5 linked regions of the Daphnia pulex genome follow. The protein of the gene in region 4 purifies or fractionates together with the protein of the main gene of each other region. This does not show direct contact. Links are inferred from orthologs where the notes say so. Each region holds a gene or a part of one and is shown on either strand. Other genes may lie near its edges. The genes, in order: putative pre-mRNA-splicing factor ATP-dependent RNA helicase PRP1, coatomer subunit alpha-like, pre-mRNA-splicing factor ATP-dependent RNA helicase PRP16-like, nudC domain-containing protein 1-like and ATP-dependent RNA helicase DHX8-like.

Region 1 (6,148 bases), on a different chromosome or scaffold from region 4:
ATCAATTCATGGAAACTGATGATCGGTCGACTTTACAAAGTAAGTGTAAGAGGTGTTTTTAAGCCCTAAAAAAACAGTTTGACTCCTGATATCGAATAGAAACAAAGGATAACGTCAACTTACCGTTTTCAATTCCGATATTCTCGACTCTCTAGACGGTTGATTATCTGTTCAAGTTGTCTCTTTGCCGGTCCTTCTGGGAAATTGCTCATATCATAATAAGAAGGAGCAACTTTGATAAGCCATTCCGCTACAAAACAGAAGTGTGTTAATTTGGGGGATCAGAAAATCAGATTTTCATATTCTACGTTTGACATCGGTGCAAGTTCTGATGTAGTTTTTAGTGGTCAAAACAAATTCGTTGTAAATAACCCATTCCGGTTTGTGATCCAAGCAAGTCGAAGGGTGAAGTTGTACCACTTGGTTATCTTTAATAGTTTGATAGTGACCCGTTCGTTCTAAATGGGCAACCTGGAAGAACAACGCGAAGATGTACTTAAATACAAAGAGAAGAAATTATTTGTCTCTATACCTGCATAAAGAAACCGCTAATGAGTGCTTTACGAATATTAACATAGTAGTCCTTTGAGGTGAATTCGGTGGATGTGCGTTTTAAATTGAAGCGATCCATAATACGGGAAAGCTGTTGTCGCACATTGTCGGCCGATTTCATTGACCGGTAGTTGACAAAATTGTCATAACACCACTGTTTAAAAAGAAAAATGTGAGATTACCATCAACGAGCTCGTAGAAAAAGACGGGAGCATACCTGAGGATCTTCCATATTTTGTTTAAATGCGTGATAGACGTTCAGCATAGTCAAGTGATCACCGTCAATATGAGCAAAGCGCATCTTGGCCTCGTCAGCAGCCTTTTTGGCTTCCAGTGGACGCATAAAAACTTGTGGGACTGCATTCAGACGTTGCGGAAAAAATGGGAGGAGACAAAAAGAGAAAGAGACGGAAGTGGGGCCCCACATTTTTCAAGGAGACCAAAAAATGGGAAGCCCGCGCGTCCCGCCTTCATGTTTAGTTCTGTTCACCTATTAACAGGATACAATAGAACAGCCTATCGTTTCTACTATGATCTGTGCTCTCAAAGAAAGCACACCTTTTAAACCAGTTGATTAGCCGTTTTGCCATAACAAGTAAGAACTTTTAGATTAAACTACAAAGGCAAAACGTGGCAAATCACCCTAGCTATTTTTCAGATCCCACACAAAGACAACCAAATCAACCGAAATAGAAGTTAGGTGAAGCTTACCGGAAAGCATAGCCGTAATCGAAAGGATCTCATTGGAGCAGTTGAATTCCGTAGAAGCAATCAACATTTTGGCCAATTGAGGATCAAGGGGAAATTCAGCCATAATTGCTCCCAACTCGGTCATGTTACCATCGTCGTCTAAAGCACCGAGATAATTCAGCAACTCTAGAGCTCTCATCAAAGTCTCGGGAGCTGTAAAATAAAAAAAAAAATCAGCATGCGGTTTATTTATTTAAATGTTGATATGGTACCTGGAGGGTCCATGAAATCAAAATGAACAAGGTCGTCGATGCCTAATTTTTTAAGATTAATGACGACTGATCCCAAGTTGGAGCGAAGAATTTCAGGATATGTGTTGTCTTGCATCTCTTGTTTGTAGGCTTTTTCTGTGTAAAGACGAAAACATTTTCCTGGTCGCGTACGCCCGGCACGCCCAGCACGTTGCTGAGCTGATGCTTTGCTGATAGGAGAAACGAGTAAAGACTCGACGCGAATGCGAGGATTGTAAACCTGAAAACAGCAATTCCACAAATTTGAACCATGTAACTCACATTTGAAAATTCCTAAATGTTACCTTTTGTTTGGCAAAACCAGGGTCAATAACAAAAACAACACCATCAATAGTAAGCGAGGTCTCGGCGATGTTGGTACTAATAACCACTTTACGACCGATGGCTCCATTTGGTCTAACTGGGGGAGCAGCCTCAAAAATCCTCTGTTGCAAATTTGGTGGCAATGTGGAGTACAAAGGAATACACTTCATTTCTCCCACTTCAGGACCAAGGTTGTCGATTTCACGTTTCAACCTTTTGCAAGCTTCATCGATTTCCTATGTGTACATGAATAAGATAAACATGTTCAGAGAAATCTGAGAAATTCAATCAAATTTTACAAATATATAAAGCTAACCTCTTGACCAGTGAGGAAGAGAAGAACATCACCGACAATATCTTCACACATGTGAATTTGCATGACTGTGCGTATGGCTGCTTCAAGATAGTCACGCTCGGGTTCTGGGGTGTAAAAGATCTCCACAGGATGCGTCCGACCGGGCACGTTCATCAATGGTGCGTTATCAAAATAAGATTGAAACTTTCCCGCGTCAAGCGTGGCAGACATGATAATTAACTTTAGATCACGCCTTTGCTTAATGACTTCCTTTAAAACACCCATAAGAATGTCAGTAGCAAGTGTACGCTCGTGAGCTTCGTCCAATAAAACTAGCTGATACGAGTCTAACAGTGGATCTGACATGGCTTCACGCAACAACATACCGTCTGTCATGTACCTTTAAAAAATGAAATAGGGAATAGTTTTGATCGAATAAAACGTTTTACTCAAAAGAACATACTTGAGTACGGTTTTGGGGGAAGAACAGTCTTCGAAACGGATACTGTAACCCACTTCTTGACCAAGAACGACGTCCATTTCATCAGCTACACGTTGAGCCACAGACCTTACAAAAAAAAAACGGTTTTATATTAAGAGAAAATTAACTATTTGACTTAAAATATTACATAGCAGCAACTCGACGTGGTTGAGTACAAGCGACTCCTTTTTTAACTCCTAGTTTTCGCGCAAACTCAGCCGACCTGTCACAATAATAGCAAATTATCAACAAACTGCTCTACGATAAACTAAATATATTTCCTAACCATTGAGGAATTTGAGTAGTTTTTCCCGATCCAGTTTCTCCAACTAAAACTATTGCCTGGTTGTTTTCTAGAAGCTCAAAAAATTTCTCCCTGTATTCCCAAACTGGAAGGCCAATGCGCTTTCGATAAATGTCATAGTATCTAAAACAATATAAATGATCATTATCAACGAGTGTTTAAAAAAAAATAATATTTATGATGTACTTTTGTGTATAGGGCAATCCTGTAAGGGGATTTAATGTCAACCCTGGCTTTGATGGTGTTACTGGAATTGATGCAGATGAACCACCAGGTTTAGAATCAGTTACATTTCTGTAAAGTAATAAGACAAAGCATTATTTTAATCTTAAGACACTAATATGGGAATTTGTAAATCAAAAAGTGAAAATGAATTTAGAAAAATATTTATAACAATAGAAGCTTACTTTTCTTTATCTGCTTCACTCCCTTTGTCACCAGTTGCCCGGCTGTAAAGTAAAACAAATTAATTTTATTGCATAATAATTTAAAAAAAGAATGATGGTTTTTTGAAAAATCATTAACAATCTTATCGACCACGACATGTTTCACTACAGCATGCTCATGTGCATTACAAATGACACAATCGCGGGTTTATTTGTCTAATTTGAATAATTGCATTTTACTTACGATTTCTTGCTGAGCTTGTCATCAACTTCTATGCGTCTTTTCGACATAATAAGAGGTGAAAATATCTATTTTACGATATTTAAAAACGAACAGGACGTGGATACACGTTTTCCAACAGCACAGACAGGAACTTCGGCCACCAATTTCCACACTTGCAGACGCTACTTGTGAAATTCAAAGGAAGCACGCGTTTCATTTCAAATCGCTAGATGGCACATAGCCAATAAGCGGCGAACTGCGGAACTACTGGTTTATTGCCACAATTTAAGTTGACAATAACTCGTCTACAGATGCCGTATTTTTATGCGCGGCGCTGATCTATAAATGTATATGGCTTTGCTTCTAATTCGTTTCAGACCCTAGCTATATGGTATTTGCTAATTGAATAGTATAGTAATTATTTTACTGCTCGATCACAATTTCATGGTTGCCTCGTTTTGGTGGTTAGAAAGTTACAAGTTAGCCTAAATGAAAAAGTTGTTGATTTCTCAATTCGGAATATTTCCTCCGTTCAGTACCGTTATGTTTATATATTCCACGAGAATTCAGCATTGACGACGTCCTTATTATAAAAAACTTTGAATTCATTTCAAATAAATTAGTTTGAATATCCAATACGCATTGAAGGACTCAATTTGTCTTATTTCTATTAATCATGTGTTTGGTCTAATGAAATTAGGCCTAGGAAAAAATAGAAAATAAAAATCTATATGGGGAGAAGCTATTGTTTAAATGCATTGATGCTTCCCGGAATAATTCAATTTAAATTGTTCTTTATTAGTAGGGAAGTTGTAGAGAGAAAGTAGAACGCAGAGAACGGGCATGAAATCGTGAACTGAGCGGAACACATAGCAGTAAAGAAAAAAAGAAAGGCTAGGAAATTTGATGTCCTATTTCTTCTTTCTCGGTGCTCCCGACATTCACATCGCTACCTGCCGCCGAGGAATTAACAGGTCTTCCGTCCTACGTCCGTCCAGTTTACGTTTCCCTGTTACAATTCCCTTTGAAAATCCGTAAGACAATTTTTTGTTACCGTTAATTTTATCGCTATAGCTAAAAATCTGTAATATTACTTAACAAAATAATTGGAAATTTCGTGTGTGCTGTTAAATAACTTGATTTCAATGGCCGAAAAAGTGCCCGTACTTCGGGAGAAAATATTTCCAAAGAAACCCGATTTCCGTTACGCGCTCTCAGTATCTAGAGCATCGCATTTTGATTTAATATTTTCCTTCTAAAGAGACCAAAGACTACTTTTTTTATTTGCATTTCTGTTTATGATTTGCAAAAATTGCGATCGGACATTTTTTGAATTGGGAGCCTTCGCCCTCTATGTCGTCTGAACTTGTTGATGTTATTAACAGATATCTTATTGAATAAAACTAGAGGTGCTGCTTGATTAGATAAGAGAAAGCCAGCAAGCAGTTATCCAGTGAAGGTAAACTGTAAATTATCCAGTGAAGGTAAACTGTAAAATGAAAGATGCAACGAACTTTCGACCGAGCCCTTAACTAAATATGTGTCAATGAACTCGAGAAACTTCTTTGTATTAACTAGGGTATACAGAAAAATGGACAAAATCATGTAGAGATTATGAACATTAAAATAATGATTTTTTTATTGTTGTTTTATTTTCAGGGACTGGCAATGAAGGCTGTACGTGTGCACACATTTGGAGGACCAGAAGTCTTGAAAGTAGAGTCTGATGTTCCGATTCCTGTTCATTCTGAAACCCAGGTTTTTTATTTGTTCACTTGCTTCAATTGACACGACTGTTCTAAAGTTGCTATGTTTAGGTTTTGATTAGGGTTGGTTCAGCTGGTGTTAATCCAGTTGACACATACATTAGAATGGGATTATTTGCTCAATTGCCAACTCTGCCTTACATCCCTGGACGTGATGGTTCTGGAACTATTGAAAAAGTTGGCTCCAAAGTTGACACACTCAAGGTTAGTCGTCCTTTTTAAAATAATCTTCCAAAGGAACAGGTTCAATGATTTGAAATCATCCAAATACTCAAGAAATAGTTTGAAGAGAAAGTGCTACAATTTCTTCTTTTCTATTGCAGGAAGGTGATCGCGTTTTCTTTTCCGGAGCCAGCGGCTCTTACGCCGAGTACGTTGCTTGTGAATCGCATTCAGTGTTCCATCTGGCTGATCGCCTCTCCTTCGCCCAAGGGGCCGCTCTAGGTGTTCCTTACTTCACGGCTTATCGCGCTATATTTATCAAGTATATAAAAGACACTCTGCTTTCACATTTCCTTTATTTTCAATTCAATCTAATGGTTTTTATTCTTCTTCCCCCTCTTGTGTTGTGCAGAGGAAAGGCCAAGGCCGGCGATCGTGTTTTGGTTCATGGAGCCAGTGGAGCTGTTGGTTTAGCCGCTTGTCAAATCGCTAAAGCGCACGGTAATTAGCTATAATAAACCATCTTCTGTCGTAATGCTAGACGAAAAGACCACCTACAGCAATATCACTTGTGAAAACGTACTTAAAACAAAATGGCGTCGTTTTACAGCGATAGCACATTCTTCATGTCTAGCGATTTAAAAGTTACAACTTTTTTGTTTCGTTTGGTAATTT
Region 2 (6,247 bases), on a different chromosome or scaffold from region 4:
GATCGCTCCCAGTTGACAGATGACTGACGTAAATGACCCTGTTGTAATTAAATCGCGCCAGCTTTTTTCTCTCGACCAGCTCAACTGGTTCCGTGAGGTTGTGCACAGCACAGACAACAGTAACGATTTTTCGGTTTATTTCGGTTTGCATCAATTTTCATTTGGAGCCGGGCCACGTTTGGCTGGGTTGAAACAATTTCAGGTCGTTTGCTGTTTTTGCCTTCGTTGTCTCTTACAAAACGCTGACCAGTGAAACACAGTTGTTTAAACTATTTTAATTTTTTATTCTGGGGGGTTTTTGTGTATATTTCATCTTGACGTGATAATTATGTTGTCAACAAAACTACGATGATAGATTCGCAGGGGGAATTCTAAAGGGCTGGAATTCCGGTAATTTATACCCCCCCCTCCCCCATTCAACCATCATTTGACAATGTCAAATGATGGTTAACGCCGTAAAAACGCCGTAAAATTCTGTTCTGTGCTGGTCACGACCGTCGTGATTCTGTAGGTTAACCGCAGTTACACTAGACATATATGTTAGAAATGATTTCTACCGTGATATTAGAGGTAGAACTAATATACTACGTTTTAATTAAAATAATTGAAACATGAAATGAAGTGAGTGAAGTTGAACTTGAAATTTATTTGATGAAATTAAATCGTCATACGTTTAAATCCAGACATGAATAACATTTTTTAGTGACGTACGGATCTCAATTGGTAGCTGTTCCCAACTCGTTTAATTCCGGATGACCGAGTCTCTGTAACTGGCGGGGGGATTTTCATATTCCGGCGGCAGATTCGGGTAAATGGTCTGATACACATTTTCTGTTGCTTCTCCTGTTGTCGTTCCTGATCCTGTCGTCGCTGGAGGTTCGTGCAGAGTAGGTGTGGGGGGTGGTGTCAGGTTTGTGGTGCTTTGGCCAGATTGGGCTGCGATTTCATTGTTAGCTGGAACGTCATTCCAGTAACGTGGAAGTTTTGGTTCTTTTTTAGTTTTCGTCCAAAATCTATCCACTGCTAACCACACACAAGCAACAGCGCAGCATTTCAGGTAGCCGGAAACCAGTTCTTGGTCGAAATTCGCCAGATTAGGCGAGATGACGTCAAAGTATCCAATTTGAAAGGTGAAGACTGGACCCATTATACCGAAAAGTCTTTGGACAATTTTCATTGCAGAATCATCCTCTTCCTCCCACTTCCAGTAGTAATCCATTTGCAATAATGTTGCAAACATAAGGTAAGCCTGAATTGCCGCTAGTGTGGGCAGCGCATTGGATAGGGCGGGGATCCACATTTCCGGAGGTGTTGAACATGTGACCCAAACAACCGGATTCCCATCGAGATGATTGTCGGGACTGCAAAGCACATCAAGTCCGTTCGGTTTGCAGGCGGCTAGAAAGTTTGGAGCCAGAGTTTCAGTTGGACCGTTGTTCACCCATAGCCAGACGAAAACACCTCCAGTAATCAACGCTACAATCCATAGCAGAAGTTGAAACAACACCAGCAATATGCCTGCAGAACGGTTTGATGATGAAACAGAACGGAATCTTTTCTTTGCGAGTAGGATGCCTGACATCAAGAGACTTACACAGCAAAAACATGTTCCTTGTAGAAAACAGACACTGTATTTTTCTCTCGGGTTACTGGATTTCATCGGATAGTTAATTTTATCGTACTCGTTGCATGTTATTTTTATTGGTTTTCCATTAATGTCCGGTTGATTAGGAGGTAGTTTGACAAAACAGATTAAAAATGTCCACACAACGATAAGTGTAATCACGTATCCGATCAGGTTTGAAAAAGCTTTTTTCCCTTTTGCGAATTTCGTCATGGTGATATGAATCGCTGTTTAGTTTGATGATTATCCGCTTCGTCTAGCGGTCGTATATATATCATTCCATGGACAGAAACTTGCTCTGCAGTTGTTGAACCGGCAATTAATCGTAAATTTCGGGATAATCAACTTGGATTTTTATTTTTTAAATTTCGTTTTTCGTTAACTTACATTTTAACGAATAATGTTCAAAAGAAATTACGAATATGCGACAATCCCTTATCTCGTAATTTGTATTGTCAAAAGTACACTTGGCTTGAATTTGACACGAAAAAGAAAACATTCGAATCTTCGTTTAAGTGGAATTTCAAATTTCATACAGTTCTCTTCGATTGTTGACTCATCTTATCGAGTTTTTTCTTAAAGCAATTCACTTCAACATTAGAAAGCACGCTCTATCATTCCTTGGGCGTAGTTAACGATAACTAAGTCGACAAGATAAGACTCGCCTACGTTGACTTCGTTCACCAACACCAGAAGAATTTGGCAATTCAAATTAAAAAAAAAAAAACTAGCCAAATCCGCACTGAACTATGCCATCTAGCGTGAAGTACCTTCATATTATATGAACCTATCGGTAGGTGGCGTTTATCTTGACTACTTCAGCGACGTGGCTCTTCTGTCATTTCATTATTCCGGAGACTTGTATACTTTATATTTGGTGACCGTTCACCGGTTAATGTCTCGCAAAAATGCTAACTAAATTTGAAACGAAATCGGCCAGAGTTAAAGGCCTTTCCTTCCATCCCAAGCGACCATGGATTCTAACGAGGTACGTGTTTTTGCATACTTTGATTCCCGTCTTGAAGTCGGCAGTTGTCAAAGTCTGAATTGTTTTAATTGAATTTTTGTCATTTAGCTTGCATAGCGGAGTAATTCAACTATGGGATTATCGTATGTGTGCGTTGCTGGATAAATTCGATGAGCACGATGGACCTGTACGTGGAATCTGTTTCCATAGTCAGCAGCCCCTCTTTGTTTCTGGTGGCGATGATTACAAAATTAAGGTACCCACCCTTGCCTGACTTGACAAATTAACAAATGCCAATAATGTATGCTGTTCCTTTAGGTCTGGAACTACAAGCTGCGGCGCTGTCAATTCACATTGTCTGGCCACATGGACTACATTCGTACCACAGTCTTCCATCACGAATACCCATGGATTTTGAGCGCCTCTGATGATCAAACTATTAGAATCTGGAACTGGCAAAGCAGAGCTTGTGTATCTGTTTTGACTGGCCATAACCACTATGTCATGTGTGCCCAGTTTCACCCCACAGAAGATTTGATTGTTTCTGCATCCCTGGATCAAACTGTCAGAGTTTGGGACATTTCTGGTATTAACAGTTGTCAACCATTTTTCACTGTCAAGATCACATCATTATTTCTATTTTTGTTAGGTTTGAGAAAAAAGAATGTGGCACCTGGACCTGGAGGTCTCGATGAACACCTCCGTAATCCTGGAGCCACCGATTTATTTGGCCAAGCTGACGCAGTTGTTCGCCATGTTTTGGAGGGGCACGATCGCGGAGTGAATTGGGCAGCATTTCATCCGACACTTCCGTTGGTCATCTCGGGTGCTGACGATCGCCAGATCAAGTTGTGGCGAATGAGTGAATCTAAGGTGACGAGAGCACAGCAGAAATGACTTGTTAATCTTCTGAAAATAACTTTTTTGTTTCTCCGTATTGTGAACAGGCATGGGAAGTCGATACGTGCCGTGGCCATTACAACAATGTTTCTTGCGTCTTGTTCCATCCTAAACAAGAGCTGATCCTTTCCAACTCGGAAGACAAGAGTATCCGCGTTTGGGACCTCACGAAGAGGACGTGCCTCAACACTTTCCGTCGTGAACACGACCGTTTCTGGGTTATGGCTGCCCATCCAACTTTGGGTCTATTCGCAGCAGGTAAATTAACATTCTGTAACATTTCAAATTGGATCACGCTAATAATGCTAATGTGTTGTTTATTCAGGGCACGATTCCGGAATGGTGATCTTTAAGCTGGAGCGAGAAAGGCCTGCGTACAGCTTGCACGGCAATCTGCTATTTTACGTCAAGGAGCGTACCCTTCGTCGGTTGGATCTTACCACGTCGAAAGATACCGGTTTGCTGCAGTTGAGGGGCAACGCTCGCACGCCGATCCACAGCATCTCGTACAATCCTGCCGAGCAGTCTGTTCTGGTTGTCACTCGCGCTGCCAATTTAGACAATTCCATCTACGAGCTCTACTCGGTTCCAGTTGAAGCCGATTGTCCGCAAGATGGTGGCGATGGAAAACGCTCAACAGGTGTGACTGCCATCTGGGTCGCTCGCAATCGTTTTGCTGTCTTGGATCGTAACCACACGGTATGCCACGACTATAAACACCGGGTTAATGTTGGTTTTCTACAATAATTTTATTTCATTTTTCATTTTTTAGATCGTCATCAAAAACGAAAAGAACGAAGTCAGCAAGAAAATTCAGACACCTCCGTGTGATGAAATCTTTTATGCTGGTACTGGATGCGTTTTACTTCGTGATACGGAAGGCTTGACCTTATTTGATATCCAACAGAAACGTAGTGCTGGACAGGTAATAAAACTAAGCAAGTAGGTCATTCCAAGAACAACCATGTTCATTCAAAATTTTCTATGCAGGTTAAAATGACCAAATGTCGCCATGTCGTTTGGTCGGCGGACATGAGTCACGTTGCATTACTGGGCAAGCACGTCTTGACCATCGCCAACCGTCGTCTTGAAGTGCTGTGCACCATCCAGGAGAACGCCAGACTCAAGTCTGCTACCTGGGAAGATTCGGGTGTTCTGATCTACACCACTAGCCACCACATCAAGTATTCATTGATCAACGGCGATCACGGCATCATCCGCACCCTAGATCTGCCCGTGTATCTCACCCGTGTCAAGGGCAAGGCTATCTACTGTTTGGATCGCGATGCCCGTCCTCGCATGTTCCAGGTGGATCCCACCGAATACTGCTTCAAGTTGGCCCTGGTCAACCGAAAGTACGACGAAGTGTTGCACATGGTTCGACACGCCAAACTTGTCGGCCAATCGATCATCGCTTATTTGCAGCAAAAAGGTTATCCAGAGGTTGCCCTACACTTTGTCAAAGACGAAAAGACTCGACTGGCCCTGGCTCTCCAATGTGGCAACATTGAAGCAGCTCTTGAAGCCGCCAAGGCTCTAGACGACAAGTTCTGTTGGGAGAAACTTGGCGAAGCTGCCCTTCTTCAAGGTCAGGATTCTCGCTATTAGTTTTTTTTTAATGATGTTTAACTTACTTTATATTGGATCTGTAGGCAACCACCAGGTCGTTGAGATGTGCTATCAAAGGACAAAGAATTTCAACAAGTTGGCCTTTTTGTATCTGATTACTGGCAACCTCGACAAGCTAAGAAAGATGATGAAGATTGCTGAAATTCGCAAGGACACTTCGGGTCAATACCAATCGGCCCTTTTGCTAGGGGATATGCAAGAACGTGTCAAGGTGCTTCGTAACTGCGGACAGGTAATACGGGACGGTTCAGTTAACTAAGTTTTGAATGATAGTAATGTTTAAACATGGTCTAGACGAGCTTGGCTTTCCTTACTGCCGCTACCCATGGGCTTAATGAAGAGGCCGAACTACTGCAACAACAACTGGAAGCAGCCGGTCAACCAGTACCTACTGTAAATCCATCTGCTGTGTTCTTGCAGCCGCCTCCTCCAATTGCTCAGGCGGAATCCAACTGGCCATTGTTGACCGTTTCCAAGGTACGCCATTGTTCATTTGATAGATTTTAATGGGAGGGAACTTTAACATTTGAAATGAACTGGAACAGGGATTTTTCGATGGAGCCATGGCAGCTCGTACCATTGCTTCTGGATCTGCTGTTGCTACCGAGGAAGATGCCGGTGAACCTGATGGCTGGGGAGATGATGCTGATCTTGGTCTTGATGATGAAGATAAACCGGTTGGATCGGCTGGCAATGCCGAGAGCGGAGATGAAGAAGGTGGCTGGGAAGTGGGTGATGAAGATTTAGAGTTACCATCCGATTTGAGCGTTGCTGCTCATGGAGGTGAAGACGAAGACCGCGGTTATTACGTGCCACCCACTCGTGGTCAGCCTCCTCTGCAAGGATGGGCCACTCATTCGCAATTGGTTATTGATCACGCTTCAGCTGGCTCCTATGAATCTGCTTTCCGTCTCCTCCATGACCAGATTGGTGTCGTTAATTTTGCACCGTTCAAGTACGTACAATAACTGTTAATTCCTTCGTCATTTGCTTATAACATAGCGTTTCTTTCTACTCCGTTAGGCCATTGTTTACCGCAGCCTTCGCCAAATCACGAACTATGTTTGCTGGATTGCCTAATCTACCTTCCCTGGCCGCATACCCACAGCGTAACTGGAGGGAAGTTG
Region 3 (6,210 bases), on a different chromosome or scaffold from region 4:
TCCACAGCTGGAACATGGAATTCAACATGTTTTCCTGCAGGATCAAAAAACAAATGAACTGACTTTCTTTAACTGAATAATTTTAAGCTTTCTACCTGGGGAGGTGGATCCATAAAGTGAAACTGCAGGAGATCCTGAACACTCAAGGATTTGAGAAGGAGGACGACATTGGCCAAATTTGTTCGCTGGATTTCTGGCAATGTTGTGACGAGCATTTCATCCTTGTACTGCCGTTCCGTGTAGAGACGGAAACATTGGCCAGGGCCGGTACGTCCGGCTCGACCTGCCCGCTGGTTGGCGTTGGCTTGACTGATGGGGTAAATTTGAAGGGCGTCCATACCAATGCGCGGATTGTACACTTTGAGTTTACAGAATCCGGCGTCAATGACGAACATGATGCCGTCGACCGTCAGCGACGTTTCGGCGATGTTGGTGGCCACCACACACTTGCGTATCCCATCGGCGGACTTTTGGAAAATCTTGGCTTGCAACTCGGACGGAAGTTGAGAGTAGATGGGCAGCACTAGTAACGGCGGAGCGTTGTCAACTTGTTCCAATCGCTCTTGTATCACCTCGCAAGTGACTTCAATGTCTTCCTGGCCGGGCATGAAGATCAAAATGTCTCCTGCAGAGAATGAACATTTAATAATTTCTACGGGCAAGGATTCAAATTTTACAAACGCGTTACCTTGAGTGGGTTGCAGGTGGACCTGAAGGGCCTGTTTGACAGCAGAGTCCACGTAGTCCTCGCACGGGTTCTTACTAAACATGAGATCCACCGGGAAAGTTCGACCGGGAATGATGAAAACGGGTACATTGCCGAAGAAATCGGCAAATTTGGTCGAGTCCATCGTAGCCGACGTAACGATCAGCTTCAAATCTTGTCGACGACCAACCACCTAAAATTAAACTTCCGTTAAATAAGCAAAACCGCTGCTATTTTTTAATAAATAAAAACTTACATCTCTCAAAAGACCAAAAAGAACGTCCGTATTGAGTGAACGTTCGTGGGCTTCGTCCATGATGACGACACTGTAATTGTCCAGGTCGGGTTCACGAAGAGATTCGCGAAGTAAAATACCGTCCGTCATGTACTTGATGATCGTTTTCTATACAATACAAAATAGCAGTTTGAATAAGTTTTAAAAATTCCATCGAATATTAAAAGATAATTTATACTTCGCTGGTGCAATCCTCAAAACGGATCGAGTAACCCACTTCGTCACCTAAATTGCAGCCCATTTCCTCAGACACACGTTTGGCCACACTCATGGCTGCAACACGCCTAGGCTGAGTGCACCCAATCATTCCATACCTGATGAATCACACCAATCATTTAGTTTATATGCTATTGATAATAGGCATGTTGAGTAAAACTTACTTGCTGTAGCCAGCTTCGTGCAGGTACTGCGTCAACTGTGTTGTTTTACCACTGCCAGTCTCACCGACGATAATGACAACTGGATTCTCGCGGATGATCGTCAACAACTAAATAAAAAATAGAATTAGATGTTGGTCTTTGTTTTATACGATTCATGTTCAGACTGACTTGCTGACGAACGGCGAAACTGGGAAGATATTGTCGTTGCTGTTGAAGTGTTTTCTTCTTGGCGAAATCGCTGGATGCGTTGTCAGAGTCTTTCATATGTTCCGCAAATCGCTGGCTCGTTTTGTAATCCGTCTCTCCCGTAGTCTCATCCACTGCACCTGCATCCTATTAATTTAGAAATTTTAGTTTAAATTACGACATCAATAGTCCTATTTAAAACTAACCTCTTCAGGACGTGCTTCTACACCCATGATGTTACCGATCTTGGTACCGGCCAATTCCCAATGCTTCTTCTGCGCTTTCTTTCGTTCCTTTTGCTCTCGATAAACTCGAACTAAAGCCGAGCCTTTACGAGCTGCCATCGCCAAATCGGATGTGGGGTCCTGTTATTCAAAATGTGTTTTACATTTACGGTTCAAATGCTTAAATATTATTACTGACCCTAACGGGGACGACGGCTTCTGGTTGTTTGGTGAAAACGTAGCGTCCGTCAAGGAAAGGCGGAACAATGTTGTGGACGAGAAGATGGACCCGAGCTTCGGCTTCTTCTTCGTAGTCCTCGTCGACGTCGATTGTGGTGACGACACCACTGGTCAACATCCGGTTACGTTCCCACAGTTCGTTGTCTTTCTGAATTTGTTTCTGCTTGGCGGACACACGTTTGCGCTTCTTCTGTTCCAGTTGCTCCTCTTTGCGCTGGGCGTACTCTTCACTGACCCCACCAAACGCTTGACTGGCTTCGGCATCGTAACCGTCGTCCAGGCCGTACCACTCACGGTCAAGACGTTTCTGCTCCGCCTCCCATTCTTCTGCGTCCAATTCCACCTCAGGTGAACCCACTGTGTTCATAAAAAAATTTAAATTAAAAAACCCACAAGACTTAGATGACACAATGAAATCCTTGCCTCGATCAGTTGCAACTGAACTTCCAATGCCAGAATCTCTGGGCGTATTGTATCGTTGACTCCTAGCACTCCTACATAACAGAAGAAAATGTTATTAACAGTCTCTTATAGTTTTGGTAAAACAATTTACTTGTAATGAGAATAGGCAATCCGTTCACTGCGTTCCGACATGTTCGAACCTCTTCGTTCAGATCTGTCATTGCTTCGTCTGTCTCCCCTTTCGGACCAATCAGAATCGCGACGATCTCCTCTTTCTGACCTGTCGGACGAACGACGATCTCCTCGTTCAGACCAATCAGATCCTCCTCTTCTGTCACGGCGCTCTGATGAGCCACCGCTGGCCTGAATGCGACGTTCTCGCCTCTCGGCCTGATCTTTTTCCCAGCCTTTGGATGCCGCAAGATCATCATCGTCCCAGCTGGAACGCGACGGGGAGTCTTTTACGTGGATTTTGGGGGTTGAAGGCTCGTCCCGGAATTTTGGCGTTTCCCAACCATTATCTGAACGTCTTGAACGTTTGCTATCTTCTCGGATACTACGATCGTCTCTTCTCTCGCCAGGACGTTTGAACTTGGGACTTTCATCCCTGTGCCTATCATTCTTTACCTGAAATTAATATACAAATACATTTTAGAAGGAACTTTTTTTGAAAATCTTCTACAAGAAAATGTACTTTAGAAGAGACGTGAAACTTCCTCTGCTTGTCACGATCTTGTCTGTGCTGCAGTCTGTTTCTAGCTTCATCGGACACACCTCCAGTGTATGTGGGAGTTTCATCTGACGTTCGCAAGGTTTTCTTGTCGACCTTGACATGGGGCTTCTGAAATCCTTCATCAAGTTTTCTCTGGTCAGCTTCGTCTTTCAAATCCTGAAGTAATGCCTCTTTCAATCTTCGTTTCTGTTCTGTATTTGAGAAAAAAACAAATTAGGGGCATGACAACTACAACATACTAGACAAATGGGCTCACCAGCAAGCTTGTCCAGTCCCAGCAATGATACTTTGGGTCCTTCTTCTTCGATTTTGTCGTTATTTTTTTTCTTTCGAACTACAATTCCACCCGATGTCGGGGCCGAACCTTCCAACACTTCAATGTTGTCAAGATCTGCCATTTCTGCTTCCTAAAAAGAAGCAACGGCGAGAAATAAGTTTTTGATTAACAAATGCAGCTAGTGGTTTCAAAACGAACTTTGTCGTCTACAATTCGTTTCCAAAACGAGTTACAATAATCGACACCAGATGTCACCAAACTTGTTTTCAAAAATTGCCACTCGATGGCGCCATGTCCAATGTAAATAGTACAATCTCGTGCTCGCGCGCCAAATCCCATCATTTCCGTTAAAACCAGCGATGGAGAAACGTGTTGAAATGGGCGACGATGGTGCCCGAAAATGTAATTCTTCCCACGAGAACTTGGGTATCATGAAATTGAACGATCACAAAGCTGGGATGCAAGGATTGGATACAGCTAAAATTAATCAAATCATTGAAGAGGCTTCCAAAGGTTCTCAATTTTATCAGCACAAGCAGAAAAATCAAGAAAGAATTGATGCCAAGATTGCTAATTTGAAGGCAGCTTGTGCCAAATTGACTGAAGAGCAGAAGAAAATGGCCAGAGCCAAAGTATAACTTTTCAAGTTTAATGTCAAGTAGATTGTTAATTGTATTCGTTGAGTGCAGATGGACAGTCTGGCTCAAAAACTTGAGCTGACGAGGGATTTGTCTCGCACAATGGTGCATGTGGACATGGATGCCTTCTATGCTGCTGTTGAAATGAGAGATTGCCCAGAATTGAAGTATTATTAACCATTTCACAACATTAAGCTGTATCGAAATCATTATTGTACATTAAAGGACTAAACCCATTGCAGTTGGCTCTTCATCCATGCTGACTACATCCAATTATCTGGCCAGAAGATTTGGCGTCAGAGCAGCCATGCCTGGATTCATAGTATGATTTCTCCTTAAAATTTGTTTAATCAATCGTCACAACAAGTCTTTCTTAAACGCAGGCCAAAAAATTGTGCCCTGAGCTGGTGATTGTCCCCACCAATTTCCCAAAGTACACGGAAGTGAGTCGCCAAGTGCAAAAAGTGTTTGCCGATTACGACCCCGAGTTTAGCGCCGCTTCGCTGGACGAAGCTTATTTGGACCTGACGGACTTTCTCTGCGCTCGTAAAGAGTCTGGTGCCGAGATGACGGCCTCGGAAGCTGTTGAGGAGATGAGGGCCAAGATCTTGGAATCGACCCAATTAACGGCCAGCGCTGGCATCGCACCCAACGGTCCATTGAATTGTGCGCGGCCCCTTGAATCCAATTGCTAATGATAAACCCTTGATTTTTTATCTGCAGGAATGCTGGCCAAAGTGTGCTCGGACAAGAACAAGCCCAACGGCCAATTCATTTTGGAGAACAGCAAAGAGGCGGTCGACGAGTTCATCAAGGACTTGCCCATCCGCAAGATCAGCGGCATTGGCAACGTGACGGAGCAGCTCTTGGGCTCGTTGGGCATCTCCACGTGTCGAGATTTGTGGAATCATCGGGAATTGCTTTACTTATTGTTCAGCGAGTCCAGTTACGACTATTTCTTGCGGGTCGCTCTGGGAATCGGTTCCGGCGGTGGTGGCGTGAGTTTCCTCAAAACATTTAAATATCAATTTCATTTATTTGTGTAATGATTTAATTGTGTGGCATAGGGCGATGGATCTGAACGTGAACGTAAATCGGTGAGCTGCGAGACGACGTTCCGGTCGACCAGCGATCGTAACGAATTGTGCGACATTATCCGTCAATTGAGCGCCGATTTGGCCCAAGACCTGGAACGTCACGGTGTGCTGGGTCGATCAGTGACGTTGAAATACAAGACGGACAAGTTTGACGTGAAGACGCGGATCACGCAGTTGACGGGCTACACGGGAGATGGCGGTGTGATGGCCAAAGCGGCCACCAGTTTGCTGCCGTCCGGGTTGAACTTGCGACTGTTGGGTGTTCGCATGTCACAATTGACGCCGTCGTCGTCAGCTGGAACCGGAAATGACAAGCCTAGCCGGAAGCAGCGCACTCTGAGCGAACTACTGGCCGTCGAGTGTCCGGCCAGGAAGAAGAGGAAATTGGAGGAGGACGGACAAGTGCTGTCCTCCTCTTCGGAACCGGATCCGACTTTGGCGTCTCTCTTATTCACCTGTCCGGTTTGCCACTCGTGGCGGACGAAGGACGGTGAAGTCGCCCTCAACAGCCACATCGACGAATGTTTGAATCAACAAGTTCTCTACCCTCCAGCTGAGACAACACCACCACTCGCAACAACCACTTCTTTGGTGTTGCCCAGCTCATCTTCTTCTTCCACTTGTCACCAGACGAAACTCGATCGATACATAATCCGCCGTAGTAAATGATTCCCCCTTTTAGTCTTCCATATCAAGTTTAGAGTTTTTAATAATTGATAGATGAATTTATTAGATGAGGATGGGTGGGTGGGTAGATTGATGGTTGCCGCTACGAGTCGCTGTCGTCGCAGCTCTTATCGATTCGCCGAGATGTTAATGATGATGGCCCTTTTCAATAATGTAGTACAACCGTCTGCTACCACTGTAGACTCTCTCCCCCCCTCCAATCGGAAATCCAAATGTCAACAGCGCAACCAACCAAGTTCTTTCGCGTGTTCCATTTGGACTGAAAAGGGAGGGTGGGTGTATATATATCCAACCGTTTCCATAGCGACACTTTCGAGTTCACATCAAACGGAGAGATAGAGAAGA
Region 4 (6,377 bases):
AAAAAGATTTAAACCCCAAACAAATTGCAAATTAAATTGTATTTTTTTAAAATGAACTTTATTCATAGTTTAGTTTTAAGTAAGTGTGCGACCCCTTTAAAAAACATTAACTCTATCATAGTTTTAACTGAAGTGAAAAACAATAATGCTAAAATTGGTAGGCCTACATTTGTAACAAAATAAAAATGATAAAAATACAGGATAATAGAGAGTATTTGAAATAATAATTGTAACAAATTGGTTGAATTATTTTATGCTCAAGCGGGCATTCTAGTTTCGTTTCCCTTCCTTGTTTTTTTTTTTTGTTATTTCCCGTACATCAATAGGAGACCTTGTGCAAGCTCTCAAAAAACTATCACCAATTGATGGTGTGATAAACAAGAGATAAGATAATCAACATCCTATCAACAAAAAAAAAATAGGTCAATTTTCGTTCTGTAGCTCAAGACATTATGAGGCCAACCTCAAATCAAAAGTTGTTTTGATACGGTAAAATTTTATAAGATAGCAGCTTTAGGAATCTGAAATTTTAATTATACATACACAAACAACATAATGTGTGACCTATTTAGATTCCCACCAATTTTCACAAATCTACTTTAGGATTTTCCATTTTTTAAATAATCGGGCCCACCTTTGATTTTCGCGGTCTTAAAAAATAGTGTATTCTTAGTACGTACATGTTTTGATCGTGAGTGGTGGAGTATTTAAAATTCAAATTTCCCACCGAACGATCTATTTTTACAACCCTTTAGTAAAATTACTTCTTCAACCATTACGAATCGAATACGCCTATTAATGGTATCATGGTATCATGCACCCCATACCTAAATTTCAAACTGGGCAAAGTTACAAAAAAAAATTACATTCAACGTACAGTCTGAATCAGTAATTGTATTCAGCCGTTCATTAAGGAAACTGTGTGAGACTTTAATCGCTGTTCACACGAATGGCAAAAAGTGACGAAGAAGTGAGAATGAGTAAGAAAGTATTGGTGGCCATGGCTCCAAGGCATTCTTCTGAACTATCGATATTGAGAACTTGTTGACGAGCAATATTACCCACTTTCCTGCCTGTTGGACGATGTACCATCTCCACGCCAGTCGACGAGCAATTGGGTTGACGGTAAATGTAAACGTGAGTGAATGCATCACACAAAGCTGCGTAAGTCATATCTACGTAGATTTGAACGGAATTTTTTGTTAAATATTCAATTGGTCGTCTTATCGAAATATTTTACCGGGAGGTGCTACAGTAAACTTCCGTTGTTCTTTTGAAGCCTGGATGTAACCAAGTGCTTGGAGCGCAGCAGTGTGAAGGCATCCCCATGGCTGTTCTAATTCATCTCCCATCGGCTGCCAAATAAGTCCATCAACGTCATGGCGTAAACAGAACGCCGGGGCTAATCCTGGAGCACTCTCAGTAAAGAATAGTAGCTGACCACTCAGTATGGCCTGTTGGAAAAAATATATACATAATTAGTTAGCTATTTAACCTTATCGAAATTTGTTTCTATTATTTACTTTGTGTGTAAATTGATTAGTCTCTCCATCGAAACGAAAGATGTAGGTTTCGTCCATCATATCATCATCGCATTCCTCTAGTTGTTCACTGCTGAAGATTGGAGGTCGTCCACCATTTCCTGATTGCTAATGAGAAATTGGAACATTAGTTACTTGTTTTCAAACAATATTGATACTTGATTATAAAACATGATTAACAAGATTGCAGCAATTACCTTGTCTTTCGTGGTATTCAATACAGTTTCATACTCGGCAGCTGTTTCAGCGTCAAGAACTTTTCGACCACGAAGGTCATTAAGGACCAAATGACTCCAGTTAAGGGATTGGTTATTCTTTGATAAGATGATCTCTAGTTTTCCATCCGACAACGTCCACGTACTCGTATCAACCGAAATGGCATGCGCTAATTCGCCATCCAAATAAGTTTGGTTTTTGTGTACAATTTTTAAAGTTTGGCTTTCAATCTTAACGACCAAGTCGTGCTTTGACGTCTGTTTGTCAAAATTGACCCATAGAGTCACCTCCTCTGGAGTTTCTGCCCAAGTATATGCAACTTTATTTTCAGATTCATCTAGCAAACAAGAAGAGTAAATTAGAATCAGATAGTATAATGAGACATGTCTACAATAATTCTTGTTATACCTTCATCCATTTGTGGGCTTGGTAAGGGAGCAGCGACATTCCTGGTGGAATCGAATATGATTCCGAAAGGCTCCCGAGCAATAAGGCATATCGATTTACCAGGGCTCAAAATGGAAGCATAATCTAAGCCGTGAGGTATCGCTAAACGTTTAAGTTGTTTGAAGGACCAATTTCCATCCTTGTGTTCATACTCAATCCATTCAAGGCAATTTATGAAAGGAGTCTCTTTCTCACTGCATCCAAATATTGACAAAGCAATTTGGCTCTCAACTTGATCTGGAATAATCTTTTCAAAATTTAATCTTGTTCAAAATCATTACTTTTAAAAATTGTTATGCATACCGATTGATTCAACTTTGAGAACCAAAACAGAAAGAGTCTCCAATTGGCTGCCCTCTTCAGCATTGAGGATGGAATGTATAACCTTGAAGGGTTCACCACTTCCCATAATTTGGTTGGACAACTTGACCTTTAAAAATGTATGAAATTAACAAGAAATCTATAATGGCAGTGAATTGCAAAAATAAAACTGTGCTTACCTCCCAAGTATGAGAATGTGTTGAAGTACGGATGTTTGTATCGATTATATGTAATACACCTCCCCCATCTGTAACAACTGCCAATTCTGACGAAGCAAAACTCAAAGATGCATTAAACCAGCCATCTCTTCTTTCAGATCTTTGTGGGATTTGCCATACAGACGTAAACTCAGGATTCTGACTTGCCTGCAAAAAATTTCATAGAATAAATATTCTGGATTTTAAAAATAAATATTAATCCAACAAACCAGAGAATGAAGGTTGATTTTGAAGATCTGCAAATCTTTTGATATGAAAAAGGCAATTTCATCTGACCAAGGATCTTCTATCAAATGATTGTGAAGACCGAATGTTTTCACGTGTGAATAAGAAAGTTGCTCATCACTTGGTTTTAAATGTTCGACAGCCACAGGTACTTCATGTTTGTAAACAGGTAAAGCATCCAAACTCAATTTGTATCCTTCGAAAGTAGGATCTAGCAAATCTTTTTTCGGGCGGAGTTCAAATATCTTTTCCATTTTCTCGGCAGGAATTTTAATTCGCGATAAATTTCAAGAAACTGAGACAAGTTATACAAACGACAGAATGAATACGAAGTGAAATACTTTCGCTGTTAAATGATGATGTGTACTTCTGACAAACGATTACAAACGTATTTTTGTGTACGCGCTCTTCCGTCTGCTCAAAAGGATTGAGAGCCGTCTGTCGGTCTGTTGCTGACTAATCGACAATCGTTCGCTAGATGGCGAAACATGAATTCAATTAAAGAAAAAACGAAATTGGGTCATTTATGTAATTCGTGTTCTGCGTTCGGGATAGATCGTGAATAACGATTACAGTAATTAAAATATGATGAAAAAGAATCCGAGCAATGCGAATTTAATGACAGTACTCTAGTATGCCCAACTTCCCCAAGCATACAGCTTAATCATGCACGTTCCATAAGAGTATAAGACCATAACCTACCAAATAATTAATTATTTTTCGCATAACATCGATCTGCTATTTTTATTGTGCTTTTCAATGATAAGTCGATAACCAAATTGTAGTTAGAAATATTATTTAAATGTTTGGTGCGCTTTAATTATTTTTTATGAAGCGGTTGTTGCATAAATGTGTTTTGGTTAAATTTAATGTTACGTAGATAATACATTTGCATATTTTTAAATTTTATATTGATAAAAGTGATAAAATGAAGATTAATCAACATGAAAAAAGATATCCTCCCCGACGGGGAATTGAACCCCGGTCTCCCGCGTGACAGGCGGGGATACTGACCACTATACTATCGAGGACTTGTCAAGTCCGAAATGTTACTTCAAGAAATCTTTTTTCAAACAGTGCAGGCTAGAAAATGTCGGGTGCCTTGACGACGAAGAGAAACCAACCACTAACACTGAGAACTCGACAGAATAATAAGAGAAGATTAAAATGGTGTATGGATATTAATAACGGAATATATAAAAAGTTAAAAACGATTTAAAAGTTAAAAAGAAATCCTCCCCGACGGGGAATTGAACCCCGGTCTCCCGCGTGACAGGCGGGGATACTCACCACTATACTATCGAGGACATACAAAAGTAAGTATCGATTCATGTGCTTTTTTTAGCCCTATTTTAAACAATAATCCAAATGTGAACTCAACTCTATGGCAGACTACTAATCTTTGTAGTTGTGAAGATTGATGATGAATATATTGCACAGTTTATACTTTTTAAGTAATACATTTGAAAAAAGCTATGGGATGGAATTTTGAAAAGTAAAATTTCGAATACAAAACTTGATCGCTCCTGGCGTCCTGGGGAATAAAATCTAACTGGTTAACGAACCGGAATTTGTTGTATCTTTTTAGTGTGTCTTTTTCAGCAGTCTGAATCGTATCCGTTATGACCTTCTTTTCAAGGTTGTGTTAGATTGTGGCTCAATTGTGGCAATGCATTTTCTACGATAGGAATTTGTAGGGGTCAGCGTAAATCAAGAAATTCGATCAGTAATCGATAGGCATCTCGCCAGTCTAACCGAGTTACACCAGGCATCAAGCTTTAACGTTGCTGGCATCTATAGTATTATTCTCTGTGAATATAAGCTCTCCCTTATTCACCTAACCCTTTTTCTTACTATATGACGGGTCAGCCACGCGATGATGGATTGAATTTCTTTGAACACCGATCGCATAACAGCTCACTCAAACGCTGTCAGGCCGCTCTATATAGCAAATAACCAAAGTATACACAGCAGCAGCTTGCTGCGTATATACATAATATCCAAGAAGCGTTATACCTGAGAAAAGAATTAGAATAACACACCATTGCTAATCGAAATCGGCCATTGACGAATGAATCAACGCAAAAATATGAATTAGTTCTGAATAAATCCTATCGGGTGTGAGACGAATTGCAAATGATGCCGAAGGGATGATGATGGCGAACATGATGAAATAAGAGAATAAAGAGCGTGTAAAAGTCTGTAGACCAAACATAGTATATCAGAATTTACCTTGTATAGTTATATTTAGTGCTTGAGATTAAATCGTAGATCTATATATATTGATATTCGCTGGCTACAACTATGAAATAATACGGAATACATACTATAAAGACCATATATGTATACCTGCCTTTTTTCTGGTCAGATGCATACGGATAGAATTTCATGGTCTTTCACACACATCATTGCATGCTGCGCGCGCTCTGACAGTCAACAACAACTTATAAGATCGCAGCACAAGTGAGAGAAGAGACGAAATAAACCAACCGTTATTGGCTACCGCGACGAAGGCGAAGGTTGTTTGGTTACAGATTCCCACCGAACAATAACTGAATCGACCACAATGTGACCCCAGCACAGCCTTGAATAGACATGTACATGTATATACTACACAAGCACATCTATATTTGTTATATTGTTATACTATATACCTTTTTTTTCTTATTATTATTCTTCAAAACTGTTCACAACGGATGAGCGATGTTTGTTTGAATGCATGATATAAGAAAAAGACGCCGGGTGATGCGTAGTATAGAGTGAAGACCGGGTGTTTGTTGTTCAATCTTTTGTATTTAAGAAATGTTGAGGTGGTGTATAACTTTTTACGTTGTCGTAATGCATATGAAGCGATTCCAGATGGTTTTTCCGGTTTCATCGTATCCACCAGTCCACCACCGCCAATTTTCAAAACTAGATTTTATTACAAGCAGTGCAGCTTATACGTGTTCTTATGTATCGCAGACGTCTAGCGGATTCTGCATCCGCTACTCGAATAACCTTATGGACAATTATTCAGGAAATGCATCCCAGTTTATTTGATGCGCATTTTTCTTTTCTCTTTTGATTTCCTTTTTTGTAAATTGCCAATCTTCAAGCCAATCTTTTTGATTTAAGTTTCAATTTTTTACCGAGTTCGACTGTCAGCCTCTAGATGGCCCATTTTCACTTGGTATAGACAAACAAACAGACGGGGAGGAATAGAACGTGCGCGTTTATTATTGTGGCGCTGATTTCGATCAGGAAAGTAACGAGCGGAGATTGCATCTGTTTAACAAACTAACAATATCGTGTAAGATTCCATCATTTGGATTTTTAACGAACGACTTTTATCATCACTTATCAGTGTCAGCGACAAACAATAAATTGCGTCAAGTCACTTGACGCTGCACTAAATAACGCAGCGCAT
Region 5 (6,301 bases), on a different chromosome or scaffold from region 4:
CACACTGACGGCGAAGGTGAAATTACCTTCGCCCACATCGATTCGACAAAGTTTGACGTTGCCGGGGTTACAATTTTCCTCCCAAAAAAGATCAACGCGATGTTGCCAGTTATATCATCAAATCAGTGTATTTGTATGTAACAAATTGTAATTGCGTACACAAAGAGGACCATGTCACTCTGATTGATTGCAGACAATCGTAAATTTTAAAAGGGAAAATTCTAATTCCGGCGCAGTCGGCGCTGTCGGGAAATACGCCACGAATTAGGCTCCTCGTATTTGTTGTACAACGGCTCGAGCCGTTGGTTTCGTTTGACTTTGCTGAGCTTGGTCGGGTCAGAGAATCTGAAAAAGGCCGGAGCAAACTCCACCAGCCACTTGGCATCGATGACAGTCACTTCACGCATGTACTCTTTTGTGGTTTGAACCAATTCATGGTAGACGACCCACTCGGGTTGCCGGTTAAAGATCGCGCTACTCGGGTGGATGTAGACCACCTGGCCGTCCACCAACGTCCGATAACCTTCTTGCGGATCCTTCTTGGCCGCATTACGGAAGAAACCCGAACAGATGGCTTTCTGCACCCTAGCCGTATTCTTGCCAGCCGATACCACGTCCAATTTGTGCCTGGAAAGTGTAGAAGAACAAATGTTAGATTTTTGAACGGATAATACAATTTGCATCAAAGACTAAACATACCTGTCCATAATGCCCAATAGCTGTTTACGAACATCCTGAGCTCGTTTTAAGGTACGCATCTGAACGAAATTCTCGTAACACCAGGCACTGCTAAACTTGTTGTTCTTCCAGGAATTGTAAACGGCCAATAAAGTGATGTGATCTCCTTCGGCTTGATTGAATTTGGCTTTCTTCTGATCAGCCAACTGTTGCTTATCTTTGGGTCGGTAGAAGACGTTCTGAACTGACAACATGGACACGACTGTCAAAATTTCGTCCGAACACATCTAAAACAAAAATTTTTAAAACGTCAATTACATCGATCAGGAACAATTGTTGATAATATCATACCAAGTGAACAGACATGATGAGCATCTTGGAGAGAGAAGGCTCCAGAGGAAATTCGGCCATACGTCGACCAAGACGCGTGAGTAATCCTTCGTCGTCTAGAGCGGAAAGGGAATGCAGCTGTTCAAGTGCCATGATAAGTGACTCCACAGGAGGAGCGTCCATGAAGTCGAAGTTGAGCAGGTCATTGATGCCCATAGCTTTGAGTTGCAGGACAGTGGAAGCGAGATTAGTACGCTGGATCTCGGGAACAGGCGTGGCAAGCATTTCATCACGATAAGCTCGCTCCGTGTACAAGCGGTAAGTCTTTCCAGGTCCAGTACGACCGGCGCGACCAGCTCGCTGCTTGGCTTGCGCCTGTGAAATGGGTGTCACCACCAAAGAGTCCATTCCGGTCTTGGAATTGTAGACTTTCTGCTTGACAAAACCAGGATCGACGACATAGTAGATACCGTCGATGGTAAGACTGGTCTCGGCGATGTTGGTGGCGATAACAACTTTTCGGGAGCCTGGTGGAGCCGGTTCGAAAATTCGAGTTTGCATTTCAGACGGTAGAGCGGAATAGACGGGAAGAATGATGAGCTCAGGAACGTCAGGGCCCATGGACTTCATGCGCTCGTATAGAATTTCGCAGGCAGTATCGATCTCTTCCTGACCAGTCAAGAAAAGAAGAATGTCGCCCGGTGGTTCGTTAAGGTGGATCTGCATGACGGTAATGAGCGAGGCATCCAAGTAATCCGTCTCAGGTTCCCGAGTATACAATATCTCGACGGGAAAAGTTCGACCCGGAATGGTGAAGATGGGCGCCTCGAAAAAGTACTGCGAGAATTTCACGGCATCCAAAGTGGCCGACGTTACGATGAGTTTGAGTTCGGCTCGCTTCTGGACGGCTTGCTTGAGAAGACCGAAAAGAACGTCTGTGTGAATAGTTCTTTCGTGGGCTTCGTCCAACATGATGCAGGAATACGATTGCAGATCGGGATCAATCAAGCATTCACGCAGCAACATACCATCCGTCATGTACTTGATCAAAGTTTCAGGACTGGTGCAATCTTCAAAACGAATCGTGTATCCAACTTCCTGTCCTAGACGACAACCAAACTCTTCCGAAACTCGCTTGGCAACGGACATGGCGGCCACACGACGAGGCTGCGTACAGCCGATCTTTCCACGAGCCGTGAATCCGGACTCGGATAGATATTGAGTGATTTGCGTAGTTTTTCCCGAGCCCGTCTCACCGATGACAATTAGGATTTGGTTGTCATTGACAGCTTTGATCAGTTCATCTCTGAGTTTGTAGATGGGAAGTGATTGACGTTGCTCGACGATGGACAAACTAGTTTTCTTGCCGAAAGAGGCTCCTTTCGGTCCACCAGTGATGTGCTTTTTCCATTCGGGCATGTCGTATACAGGGGCTCCCGTTCCGCGACCCAACGACGTTGACGGTGCAGCCCCAGCATCCGGCATGGGATCAATCCAGGTCTTGTTGGCGCCTTGAGCCGGTGCGTCAGCTGCTTCTTGTTCTTCTCTGAGCAACATTTTCTGTTCGCGGCGTTCTTTGCTGAGAGCGCCTTGCATCATGGCGGCTTGAGCTAGAGAACCGTCGGGATTCTTGACGATACGAACCGGACTAAGTTCATTAAGCACTCGACCGTGACCTCGAAGAAAGGGTGCCTCTTCTTCCACCAACTCGATTTCGATATCTTCTTCGTCTTCGGCCAGCTTTGGCAGTAAACCCGTTTCTTCGTCGAATTCGGGCAAGTCCATTTTGTCGATACAATTTGCTGCCATCATTTGCTTCAGTTCCCAGCGTTCAGGAGACGAAATCCGTTGCACACGCTTGCGGTTGGTTAGTTCATCCTCCTCTACATTTGCCTTCAAATCTAGCAATGAGAGAGGTCGATCTGGATTCCTTAAAGCTGTTTCACTTTCCTGGCTGGTTAGTCCAGGGCGGCTTGACGTCGAAGGAGCTGGGTTCAAATCTTCGCCAGTGTCTTGGTCCACATCTTTCATAGAAAGAGAGATCTTTTGGCCAGCAATGCTCATAACTTTGACATGAACCTTATCTCCACGATTGACAACTTCAGCCACACTATTCACACGGCCTTCTCGTCGCAACTGGGAGATGTGCACTAGACCCTCACATTTTTTCCGTATTCCTTCAATTTGTACAAAACAACCAAAAGCTGCAAGATTCATGATTTTTCCCGCGTAGACATTTCCCACTTCTGGATTCTCTGGAAAATCTTTTTGAGGTTTCTTTCGACTTGGGGATTCTCGTCTGCCTTCGTTACTTCTTTTATCATGATGACGATCACTTGTTCTGTTTCGATCTCCTCTATCTGTACTCCTGGACCTGTGACTTCTGTCCCTGCTTCTTGATCTCCTCTTTTGATCTCTGCTTCTTGACCTTCTACTTCGGTCTCTGCTTCTGGATCTCTTGCTGCGGTCTCTGCTTCTTGATCTTCTGCTGCGGTCCTTGCTTCTTGAACGTCTGCTTCTTTCCTTCTTGTCTTTACTCCTTGCTCTTTCCTGAACAGGCTCGATTGCTTCAGTAGAAATCTTTTCTTCTTTAGGAGCCATGGCTTCTAGTTCAGCCATTAAATCGTTAGCTTCTTCAACATCTTTAATAGTCAATTTTATGTCTTCGAGAAGCATTGTTCTTGCCTTAGGGTTATCTGCTAAGGCAAGACCAGGGAAGAGTTCCCGTTTCTTCTCTGTTTCTGCATTGTAAACTGTTTTCTTTACCTGGGCTAAGTTCACATCAGTTGTTTTCGAGTTGGCTGATTTCATGTGTTTGATAAGACGAAGCAAATTTGCAATGAGAGAGTCTGAAAACTCGGCGCCATTCTCCAGCATTACACTTTTGAACTCATCAAAGGTCTTGTGTTTTTCGGCCAATGCGATGATGAACTCTGCCAGATCTTTATCGTTGAGTCCCAAATGGTTTTCCAATTCTGTGCACACCTTAGAAACAAGCGACAGGTGTTCGAGTTTCTCTAATTCATCCATGATGATATAGGATATTTTGCCACTTATTAAATCATTTACAAATTGACAGCACAACAATTGGGATGGCGACGAATGTGGAAATTGACGAGCCGACGAAAAAACGAATGCTTTCGTTGTTAAGACAACGTTGCAAGAATGCTGTAAAAGAAAAATCAAAATTAATAGATGAACTGGCAACATTGCGCGCAAAAAATATTTACATTTTTTCGAAATGAATTTGTTAACTTTTGCGTTTCACAGATTGAAATGAAGAATTATCTAATCTTTCTCGGTTCTCTGCATTTTGTGTTTGAATTTGAATGAAACTTTTCCATGTTCATATTGAATTGGTATTCTAGACATACAGGTTCATTTTGCAAAATTCATATAAGAATGTAAACAACGCCGATGCTGCTACTAGTAAAAGACATTACTCATTAGTCAACAAGAGTTAAGTTTTTTTTAAATGAAAGTCTATTTGTCTAATGTCTATGATGATAAGATTTCACGAAAATGGGCAACTTAGTGAATTAAAGATTATAAACTAAGTTGCATCCATGAAAATGGTCAGCCAATTTAAAATTTATGTACAACACATTGTCAAAAGTAAAATTAAAAATATGACTTAAGCTACAGCTCTTCGAAAAAGGCCACGCGCGCTCCAGTCGATCCAGATTTTGACTAGGAAAAAAAGAAAAATTAACTCAAATTTGAATTAATGACTCTCATTCATGCGTACCTTTTTGAGAGTTGAGTATTTGTCGTCCCCTGAACGGAGTTGCTCTTCGTGTAGCTGATCGTAAAGCGTTTGTTTTTCACCTACTTTCAAGACTTCAATCTCTGTACGCAATTCTCTCAGTTGCTCCTGCAGTTGCTTCGATTTTTCCAAGTATTCGACTCTAAATTTATTTTAAAAAATGAGCAAACAATTACGCAACAATTCCTACGATAGATTTACAACCTCTCTTTCTCAATTTCAAGTGAGAGTTGCTCCATATCGCCATGTGTCATAAGGTCATAGTTGGATGAAGAGTTGACCAGTTCGGAAGCAGCAATAGCTGATAGATATCCACTACTACTTAAGCCAGTTAAGTTGGTGAGGCCAGTAAGCTGATTAGCCAGCGGAATAGGAAGGCGGGCCTCATAAGCCGGCAAACTTGCTTCGTTAGAGACATCGTCGAGTCGTCGTAAATGTTGCTGAATGTCCGACTGATGATGTAAATGGTGGTCTGATCCAGCTACCGACGAACTTGATGTCGGAAACAAGTTGGGAACAGACTGAAAAATGGTAATTGTAGTTATTCGCTCATTAAAATGTTGACAGAAACTGCAAAGTACCAGGACAGACGCGGACGACGGGATGCGTGTAATTGGACGAGATGCCGAGTGTAAGGCTGCAACACTAGCTTGTGTTGTTAAAAACTCTAGTAGCTTCTTTTTGGCTTGAGTTTCAGCGTAACGGGCCTGCAAAAGGTCACCTTTTAGCTGCTCTGCTTCTGCTGCACAACGCTCAGAATTCTCTAATAACCTTGAGGCAATTTGCTTCGCCTCATGTAATTGTCTCTGAGACAAAAGTTTTTCCTCTTCGGTCTAGACGCAAAAAGACAATTAAATGTAAAGCTACCTAAATAAGTTATGAAAAAATTCACTTACTTTCATGGCAGATAAACGAATTCTTTGCAACTCTTGTTCAGCGTCTGAGGCTTTTTGAGTTAACAACATTGACTCTTCTTCTGCAACTCGCGCCTTTTCGGCCAGCAGCTCAGCCGACTCTTCGGAACGCCTCTACAAAATTGGTATAATGAAATACTGTACTTGATACTAAAACTAAAAATTAAACTGAAGAATATCATACCAACTGTTCGTTCGCTACACGGAATTCTTCCTGAAAGTGAATTAACTGTTGTTCTAGGGCTGCTTTTTCACGTTCAGCTGTTTCGCGTAGTTGCTTCTCTCGTGCAAGCTTATTTCTTTCACTCTGTCGTCTGAAAAACGGTAAAGTAACCACAATAAGAACTCAACAATGAATAAGACAAAACTTGTCAAGGTCAAATTTACCTGAGTTTCTCTTCTTTAGCCTGAGCCTTCATTTGCTGAACTTCAATTGAATCCGGTTTCCTCCGACGCATAAAGAGATCATGATTTCCAATACACAAATCTAAGATCTAGACATAAAAATGCGGAAATAAAATTCGCTATCCTTTTTCATTTATGTAAAAATCATGGATTACCAATTTGTTGACTCGATGCTTATCCGAATAGAAAATAAAAGGGGGTGCAGTTT

What was found.
Region 1: the proteins of nudC domain-containing protein 1-like (region 4) and putative pre-mRNA-splicing factor ATP-dependent RNA helicase PRP1 purify together in Homo sapiens (co-immunoprecipitation; 3 studies listed by BioGRID and IntAct, with this or other methods). This does not show direct contact. The link is inferred for Daphnia pulex from reciprocal best matches to the Homo sapiens genes NUDCD1 and DHX15.
Region 2: the proteins of nudC domain-containing protein 1-like (region 4) and coatomer subunit alpha-like purify together in Homo sapiens (co-immunoprecipitation; 3 studies listed by BioGRID and IntAct, with this or other methods). This does not show direct contact. The link is inferred for Daphnia pulex from reciprocal best matches to the Homo sapiens genes NUDCD1 and COPA.
Region 3: the proteins of nudC domain-containing protein 1-like (region 4) and pre-mRNA-splicing factor ATP-dependent RNA helicase PRP16-like purify together in Homo sapiens (co-immunoprecipitation; 3 studies listed by BioGRID and IntAct, with this or other methods). This does not show direct contact. The link is inferred for Daphnia pulex from reciprocal best matches to the Homo sapiens genes NUDCD1 and DHX38.
Region 5: the proteins of nudC domain-containing protein 1-like (region 4) and ATP-dependent RNA helicase DHX8-like purify together in Homo sapiens (affinity purification with mass spectrometry; 3 studies listed by BioGRID and IntAct, counting the BioPlex papers as one, with this or other methods). This does not show direct contact. The link is inferred for Daphnia pulex from reciprocal best matches to the Homo sapiens genes NUDCD1 and DHX8.

The regions. Positions count from the first base shown.
Region 1 is NC_060017.1:1,845,583-1,851,730, forward strand, and holds the start of putative pre-mRNA-splicing factor ATP-dependent RNA helicase PRP1, read right to left. Parts: upstream 3,740-6,148; 5' UTR 3,614-3,739; coding exon 3,567-3,613; intron 3,386-3,566; coding exon 3,344-3,385; intron 3,231-3,343; coding exon 3,123-3,230; intron 3,060-3,122; coding exon 2,919-3,059; intron 2,856-2,918; coding exon 2,781-2,855; intron 2,720-2,780; coding exon 2,615-2,719; intron 2,552-2,614; coding exon 2,173-2,551; intron 2,093-2,172; coding exon 1,838-2,092; intron 1,774-1,837; coding exon 1,515-1,773; intron 1,456-1,514; coding exon 1,264-1,455; intron 910-1,263; coding exon 770-909; intron 707-769; coding exon 533-706; intron 472-532; coding exon 309-471; intron 251-308; coding exon 129-250; 3' UTR 124-128; intron 66-123; 3' UTR 1-65. Other genes in the region: quinone oxidoreductase-like, read left to right, coding at 5,092-5,124, 5,205-5,303, 5,363-5,515, 5,635-5,974.
Region 2 is NC_060025.1:3,020,244-3,026,490, forward strand, and holds the start of coatomer subunit alpha-like, read left to right. Parts: upstream 1-2,426; 5' UTR 2,427-2,532; coding exon 2,533-2,612; intron 2,613-2,699; coding exon 2,700-2,847; intron 2,848-2,909; coding exon 2,910-3,464; intron 3,465-3,538; coding exon 3,539-3,749; intron 3,750-3,816; coding exon 3,817-4,190; intron 4,191-4,263; coding exon 4,264-4,416; intron 4,417-4,481; coding exon 4,482-5,079; intron 5,080-5,143; coding exon 5,144-5,352; intron 5,353-5,414; coding exon 5,415-5,597; intron 5,598-5,665; coding exon 5,666-6,075; intron 6,076-6,143; coding exon 6,144-6,247. UniProt on the Homo sapiens protein: The coatomer is a cytosolic protein complex that binds to dilysine motifs and reversibly associates with Golgi non-clathrin-coated vesicles, which further mediate biosynthetic protein transport from the ER, via the Golgi up to the trans Golgi network.
Region 3 is NC_060023.1:12,097,850-12,104,059, reverse strand, and holds the start of pre-mRNA-splicing factor ATP-dependent RNA helicase PRP16-like, read right to left. Parts: upstream 3,670-6,210; 5' UTR 3,565-3,669; coding exon 3,423-3,564; intron 3,358-3,422; coding exon 3,128-3,357; intron 3,061-3,127; coding exon 2,585-3,060; intron 2,526-2,584; coding exon 2,455-2,525; intron 2,389-2,454; coding exon 1,991-2,388; intron 1,933-1,990; coding exon 1,774-1,932; intron 1,715-1,773; coding exon 1,550-1,714; intron 1,489-1,549; coding exon 1,382-1,488; intron 1,316-1,381; coding exon 1,180-1,315; intron 1,110-1,179; coding exon 963-1,109; intron 900-962; coding exon 689-899; intron 626-688; coding exon 96-625; intron 35-95; coding exon 1-34. Other genes in the region: DNA polymerase kappa-like, read left to right, coding at 3,803-4,075, 4,133-4,248, 4,307-4,403, 4,465-4,735, 4,805-5,079, 5,149-5,847. UniProt on the Homo sapiens protein: Probable ATP-binding RNA helicase. Involved in pre-mRNA splicing as component of the spliceosome.
Region 4 is NC_060021.1:754,202-760,578, reverse strand, and holds nudC domain-containing protein 1-like, read right to left. Parts: upstream 3,427-6,377; 5' UTR 3,223-3,426; coding exon 2,953-3,222; intron 2,891-2,952; coding exon 2,705-2,890; intron 2,635-2,704; coding exon 2,508-2,634; intron 2,442-2,507; coding exon 2,166-2,441; intron 2,095-2,165; coding exon 1,739-2,094; intron 1,650-1,738; coding exon 1,524-1,649; intron 1,455-1,523; coding exon 1,241-1,454; intron 1,176-1,240; coding exon 931-1,175; 3' UTR 875-930; downstream 1-874.
Region 5 is NC_060022.1:2,534,897-2,541,197, forward strand, and holds ATP-dependent RNA helicase DHX8-like, read right to left. Parts: upstream 4,171-6,301; 5' UTR 4,039-4,170; coding exon 1,030-4,038; intron 966-1,029; coding exon 700-965; intron 628-699; coding exon 222-627; 3' UTR 110-221; downstream 1-109. Other genes in the region: merlin-like, read right to left, coding at 4,648-4,698, 4,757-4,916, 4,979-5,295, 5,356-5,607, 5,671-5,802, 5,873-6,002, 6,076-6,182, 6,249-6,301.